2 linked regions of the Arabidopsis thaliana genome follow. The protein of the gene in region 1 interacts with the protein of each later gene in a pairwise test. Each region holds a gene or a part of one and is shown on either strand. Other genes may lie near its edges. The genes, in order: MYB31 and AT3G56520.

Region 1 (4,575 bases):
AGAAATAGTAACTGATTAAACTATAAAGTGATGTACCATTTAATTTGATAGATTGACTAGACATTTGAATAATGCAGTTCTAAGAATGTCATTTGAAAAGTAAACGTGGATCAGATTTTTTTCTATGAACAAAAGAACGTGGACGTTATCATGCCAATCTTTAGACAAACACCTAACAAAAATAAATCAGATTAAAGTGAACAATACGTGAATTAGATGCGATAGGGCCGGGTTTCTTGTATAGAGCTATTTTAAAATAATAAACAATTTAAATTAGCTATTTGTTTAACAAAACAAAAACAAAAAGCTAGCTATTTCATCATTGTTATAAAGTTTTGATAGTATACTAATCGAAATTGCTCTTTACCCCCAAAAGAAAAAGGAAAAAGAAAAATACTAATCGTAATTGTTATGTTATCAATATATGTAACACCGTCATCTTTGTTACGACAAGGATACAGCTGTTCTTTGAAGCTATTAATAACACTATAGGCCTATCAGGCATGGCCGCCAATTAAAATAAAGAAGACGTAAAAGCTGTATTTATATTCGGCTTAATTAATAGGAGTATTTCTTAGGTCTCATATCACATCGTATTTCACTTTTACTTGTTTAATTTATATAACTGGATTATGGAAAAATAAGGTTCGATGACAAAAAAAAAAGGTTCGATGAATACATACAGGCCGGTTAGAAAACTAACGATTGACAAATGATGATATATTGTTACGGTTGATTAAAGATTAAAAATATGCAAGACATAAAATAGTGGTAAAATTACTAATTTTAATTGATAAATAATAGCAGTGAAAATAATTTCTAGCCTAAAACTAAATATTTAAATAATTTGGAAGTCGTCAATTTTTAATTGATAAATAATAGTATTTCGTACATAACCGTTTCCTTTTCAATTCAAAATGATAATGTGGTACAAAGCGTGAGGAGAATCGTTTCTTCGTTGTAACAGATTGTGGGCAATACCGTTTTTTTTTTTTTGCTAAGACAGTAAATATCATTAAATGAAAGTTGTGGTGTTAAAAAAAAAAAAAAAAAAAGTTGTGGTGTTACAAAATGTAAGACCTAAAGAGATGAACCTTGCCAGGAAATACCGTTCTTTTGCTCTGATTTTTGTACCTCAATCTTTGTATTTCTATAAAAGATTGATCTGATCTTCGTGAGAGACTAGTGATGAAACTTGAGAGAAACGTTTGACTTAATTATAATCCTCTTCTTCTTTTTTTCTTTTTGGATAAAAACTTGTAATCTTTATGTATTATGGTAGTTGGATGGAATCTGCATGAGGGAAAACCTTTGCCATGATGTCTGGATTTTGCACCGAACTTAAACTATGGTGCATTCTTCTTCTTTGCTCTTTCGATTTGTTTTATTTTTGGTCAGTGTTAAAATCGAAAATCGAATAAATTTACCAACTTAGCGAATCTTTAGATCCAATTTTCAACACTACTAACGCATATAAAATTTAAAGAGGAGAAGAGAAGACAAGGAAACTTTTTGGAGAATAGACTGATTGTGATTTCTCAACACTAAGCATATAAAATCTCACCTATATAATCGGTAAAATACTAAAGACTCGTAATTGCAGTGCCAACCCTTTGATTAAGTATAGCCACGTAAGTGAAGAGAAGGGCTGACTTTTTGAACAAGCAACGGAAAATGAGTTAATGCTCTTCGCTGTCTCTATTGACTCGATTCCCTTCAAAGGCTTTTATTTAGGCTCAGCAGCCACGTAGAAGATTTTTTTTTTTTTCTGTCAATATTTACGTGTTGCGGTTAACTTCGTAGGCAATTAAAACCGGTTTTAGGGGTCACAATTTAAAAAGAAATTAAGGTTTTCATATGTTAATATATAAAGACAAAAAATAAATTAAATTCTTCAAAATAAAGATAAAATTGACATTCATGCACTAGTGCTCGTTTTGGTTTAAATATATGTACGTCTTTATTTCAATGCATATAGATCCAAAGAACAACAACCCATAAGACTTGGACATTTGTGTTTCTCCTCAACATTCAAAGTCTTTAGTGAAACCTCTCTTGTAAGAAGCCAAAAAAATAAAGAGAAAGATTCAAAGAAGGAAAGAAATTGAGGATGACTATTTCAAGTCCAAAGAGAGATTTTGAGTAGACCCTCTTCACAAAAATCCAATCTTAGAGTCTTACTAGTTACTATCTAGCTTACATACACAGAGACACTATACCAAAAATCCAATCTTATTAGAGTACTTACTATATAGCTTACACATACACACACACGAAGTACTATTTCAACGATCAAGAGCGTGTGCGTGAGGATATGGGTAGACCACCTTGTTGCGAGAAGATTGAGGTGAAGAAAGGACCATGGACTCCCGAAGAAGACATAATCTTGGTCTCTTATATCCAACAACACGGCCCTGGAAATTGGAGATCTGTCCCTGCAAACACCGGTCTTTATATATCTTCATTCACTCTCCTTCTTTCTTCTTCTTATATATCTTTCTTATAAGATTTTTCCACATATATAAATATTTATATATGTTTCAGGTTTGCTAAGGTGTAGCAAGAGTTGCAGACTTAGATGGACTAATTACCTTCGTCCCGGGATCAAACGAGGAAATTTCACTCAACCGGAAGAGAAGATGATCATCCACCTTCAAGCTCTTTTGGGAAATAGGTATGGAATTACTCCTTTAATTCTCCCTGTTTTATATTAAATTGATTCACGTTGATCTCCAATATCTAAGTTTGTCCATCTTCCGTAATCTCCTAATTAACAATATAAATTATATAGAGTATTAGCATTTCATTTTATTAGTGTTTTTTTTGTTATTATTTATTTGATTGGATGTCCACTTTGAAAATAAGATGGGCAGCTATAGCATCATATCTACCTCAGAGGACCGACAATGATATCAAGAACTACTGGAACACTCATCTTAAAAAGAAACTAGTGATGATGAAGTTTCAAAATGGTATCATCAACGAAAACAAAACCAATCTGGCAACAGATATTTCGTCTTGTAATAATAACAACAATGGATGTAATCACAACAAAAGGACCACCAACAAAGGCCAATGGGAGAAAAAACTTCAAACAGACATCAACATGGCCAAACAAGCCTTATTCCAAGCCTTGTCACTTGACCAACCATCTTCATTGATCCCTCCCGATCCTGACTCACCAAAACCTCATCATCATTCTACCACCACTTATGCCTCAAGCACAGATAACATCTCTAAATTACTCCAGAACTGGACAAGCTCATCATCGTCAAAGCCTAACACTTCATCAGTCTCCAACAACCGGAGCTCAAGCCCCGGTGAAGGAGGACTTTTTGATCATCACTCTTTGTTCTCATCGAATTCAGAATCTGGATCAGTTGATGAGAAGCTGAATTTGATGTCCGAGACAAGCATGTTCAAAGGTGAGAGCAAGCCAGACATAGACATGGAAGCTACACCTACTACTACTACTACTGATGATCAAGGCTCGTTGTCATTGATCGAGAAATGGTTGTTTGATGATCAAGGCTTGGTTCAGTGTGATGATAGTCAAGAAGATCTCATCGACGTGTCTTTAGAGGAGTTAAAATAATGATAACAACAGTCAAGATTTGTTCTATAAGAAAATAAAACGTATAGAACAACGATAAAGCTAGCTAGGTTTATTAATTTTTCTTTCTTTTGTCTTTTCTCTATGATCTTTAGTTACATTTTATTTTACTGTGTGGCTTGCTTGTGGTCAAGTCGATGAAGATCAAACTGTGATATACTATTTATATGTAAAGTACTATAAAGTTAAGAGTAGTTGAATAAACTAAAGTTTTTCGGTTGGGTCAAAAACAAAGAGGACAAAAACAACTAATTTTTTGTGTTTTGTTGAATTTATATCTTTCAGAATTAAATTTGTAACGTAGCAAATTTTATTAATGATGACATGGCGATATCACTGGTCAAATTCATCCGATGATTAATTATTTTACATGAACTGTCGAAGATTTTTTTTTTCTGTCATTGACAAATATATATGATATATGGATTTATTATATTTAGTTTCTATTAGCACTGCCATTTAGTCTTGTGAATACTCGATTGCAATGTTTTTTTTCTACTCGCTAGATTTTACGATATCAATAGCTAAACAAATATGTCAAGTCAGACTTACGATCTTGATTATTATTTTCAAGTGTGAACGGTGTTATTTAGCGGAAAGAATGCTGTTAATTCAGTGTTCGATCGTTAAATCTTTAAAGACTACGAGCATTAATGACGATTAGGTTGGGGGAAATCATTAAAAGTCTACGACTATAGTATGATTTTCTTGTAATTGGTTTTTTGAAATCATGTAACCTACAAAATTGGCTAATCATCATTAAATATAAGCAGCCACCACTCGTTATATAACAGTGAAAAGAAATCATAGTAATAGAATAGGACTATACTTTTGGCATTTCTTGAATAGGAGTTAGTGATAACAAACAACAAAAGAATATGACTTAATAGTATAACCTTTTTTTTTTAAGTATAACTTAATTGTCTTTAGTTATCTAGTATACTTGTATAACTAACCTTGTC
Region 2 (3,230 bases), on another chromosome or scaffold:
GGAGGATATTGGAGCGCAACTGTAGCTGCCCAAAAGATCAACGCTGGAAATGGCATAGTCGGCTACAAGACTTCACTAGAGTACTATGTTGGGAAACAATCAAATAGTGTCAAAGGGGATTGGTTAATGCAAGAGTACTGGTTTGAGTCTTCTGATGATAACAACAACGAGAAGGTGAGGGTAAGTGTCTTTACTTGGATTCCAAGTTATTAGGATTCGTGACTTTTGGATTTATTGTGTTTTGTTTTGGTTGGTGTGTATAGGTGGATCATGCTTTGTGCAAGATTTATCTGACTCCAGCGGCAGCAAAGAAGAAGAAAGCTGAGGAAGCAGAGAATGAGAAGCTGAAGAAAGAAGAAGACGTTGAGCAGCTGGATTTGAATCAACCAGACCAATTGCAGCTGCAACAGCCTCATGATATTGTGTATCAACCGCAGTATTGTTTACTTCCAGAACATCATCAGCCGCAGCCTTTTCCTGATAACTTTTCTGAGTTGATCAGCTTTCAACAGCAACCAGTGATGATCCCAGACGATTTTGAAGATTTCTTGGCTGAATTCACTAAACCACATTCACTGGATGGAGATGAAGAATTCAACAATTATGGTTTGTTTGAAGGCTTCTTTGACACAGAAGGAATGATAAAACATTAAACTAACTGATCTCAATCTGCTCATACTTTGTCATTTTGGTTTTTGTTTTCAAACACCAAAAACAAAAAGAAAACTAACTGATCTAGCTTTTGTGCCTTTATGAGTTTTGTTATCAGAAAGAAAACAGAGAGAAGATTTCATTAGTTTTTTTGCTAAAATTTCATTAGTTGCTATCGGCATTGTTTTTCAAAACCAGAGATAATTCTCCCTGTCTTTATTGCTTTTGATGCCTTGATCATATAAAACATTTATACACAATTTGTCCAACATTTTCTTACCGTTTTAAACTAACACATACAAATATAAAACACCGGTGTCTTCTTCTTCTTCATTTCCTCCTCTAAACATTTGTTTAGTTTATAAGCACGCAACAGTGCCACCCCCAAAATTTCTAATTTTTAATATTTTAATGGACTGCCCTCTTTAAGAAATTAATTCTGCCCCCATTAAATGAATCACTTCTCAAAACAGAAAGTTATTTGCAATTTATATTTCCTTACTACAATACAATCAATATCTTTTATTCAATATAATTTGTTCCTTTTCCTTTTCTTAATTGATTTTTGAAGATAGAAAATCAATCTTTATTTATTTGACTAACTACTTTTTCAATTTGTTGAAGTACTAAATAGTTATTAGTTATTACTGATCTTTTATTCTTAATGTAATCAAGTCTTTTTATGGGGGAAAAAGTATTAAAAATTTTCATTTCATAACTATCTTTTATTTTCATATAAAATATTGTTTTCAAAGTTAGTAACTCATAAGATTGTGACATGTGTCAAATCTATTGATCTTAGATTTTGACATTTGTAAAAAGAAAATTTCCTTCTATTAATTTTAAAACTATAAAAAATAATTGTGTGAAATTACAAATTAAAAATTATAAATAAGATAACTAAAAAAGCTATTTAAAAAAGAAATTATAAATAAGATAAATAAAACAAAACTTTATGTATCTTATTAAAAAAATAAAATTAAAAAAACGTTTACTTACTCTAATTTTAAGCTACTAATTATTAAACAAAAAGGACTACTTTTTATTAATGGGATCTATAAATAGGTAGCTCACCATAGCAACTTTTATTCATCCTCGATCAATAAACAAGCTTTTAGAATTCTAGTTTCAGTTTGCTTCAATCACAATTTCACCTTCTTCTTTTCTTTTTTTTGCTAAGAATGGAGCCAACACACAGAGCTTTGCCCGTAGGATTCAGGTTTCGTTCTACAAACTGTGAGATTTCAAACTATTTTTTGAAGAAAAAAGCTTTAGGACAACCCATGAAAGCTCGTACGATACCTGAAGAGTGTCATGATATCTTCTCAAGACATCCGCATGATCTGCCTGGTGAGAATTCGTGGATCTAAACTTTTATAAAGACAATGTCCATCTTTAATCATCCTGTGAAAGAGCCAACTGAATTTTCTTTGTTTCCTTCTTTCAGGTTATCCAAGTGAAGAACATTGGTACTATTTTTGCAGAAAACGTGACAACCAAGTTACTAGTAACTCTCATAATCTCTGGACACCAATCGGAGAAGAAACCAATGTGCTAGATCCAAAGAATAATGATGCATTAGTTGGTATTAAGCGTCGGTTTACTCTTATTGCGCAAGAAGAAGAAGAATCTGATAATATTTGTTTATCTGATGATGAAGAAGCTTTAAAGTATAATTGGTTCATGGATGAAATTAGCCTCCCACAAACAGTAGCGAATACTGATTGGGTTTTATGCCATATTTTTGGCAAGAAGACTAAACCCGAAACTACTGATTTGTCCACAATCGATTCCGAATCCGAATAGACTGCAAAGGTTTTTGATCCTATATGACCTCCAGTTCCTTCTCTGCACCTTAGCTTCTCTTCTTTATATATATATATATATATATATATATATATATATATACATGTTGGTTGGATTGTAAAGAGTTTTGACTAAAAGATCTAAAACATTCTCACTTTTTCACTAATAAGTAACATCTCCAAACTTTTAATACGAGAGTTGGGCCAGTTGCATAGAATTAGCCTCTCTAACACTAATCAAAACATTACAATATCGTTTTACAAAAACATTTCAGCAACAAAGTTCAGAATTCAGGTTCTGTAGACTACTCATAAGTCGATAACCCGAATGTGATTTGACCTGATTAACCGAAATAACGATAACCGGATACCAAGAATACCGGTTTTGTACATTATCGTTACAAGAACCGGATTTATTTAACCCTAAACAAGCGAACGAAGTTTTACACACCACCGTCTTCTTCTTCTTCCGAACGGAGAGTACTAGTTGTTCGCCGACGGCACTAGCTTCTTTTTCTTTCTCACTTTCGGTAAAGTTTCCTGTTTTCCTTCAGAAACGAAGACAAAAAAGTAGAGATTTTTATGAAGATTCATTTTTTTTTTCATTAAATTTAGTGCGCTTTCATCTGCAAAACGTCGATTAAAGGGAGGTCCAGGAATTGAAATTTGTTGATTCGTGTGTCTAGGGTTTAAGGGTCCCTTTCATCTGCAAGTTACGAATTGCAAGTCCACACGTTTATGCAATTGTTGGTGTTAGTCCTATAATTTCAATGT

The links.
Region 2: the proteins of MYB31 (region 1) and AT3G56520 interact in a two-hybrid assay, tested with the Arabidopsis thaliana proteins (one large-scale study listed by BioGRID).

Annotation. Positions count from the first base shown.
Region 1 is NC_003070.9:28,039,179-28,043,753, forward strand, and holds MYB31 (myb domain protein 31), read left to right. Parts: upstream 1-1,967; 5' UTR 1,968-2,314; coding exon 2,315-2,447; exon of another isoform or gene 2,448-2,544; coding exon 2,545-2,674; exon of another isoform or gene 2,675-2,845; coding exon of another isoform or gene 2,846-2,865; coding exon 2,866-3,595; 3' UTR 3,596-3,843; downstream 3,844-4,575.
Region 2 is NC_003074.8:20,946,334-20,949,563, reverse strand, and holds AT3G56520 (NAC (No Apical Meristem) domain transcriptional regulator superfamily protein), read left to right. Parts: upstream 1-1,832; coding exon 1,833-2,001; intron 2,002-2,098; coding exon 2,099-2,457; downstream 2,458-3,230. Other genes in the region: NAC064 (NAC domain containing protein 64), read left to right, coding at 1-174, 264-653.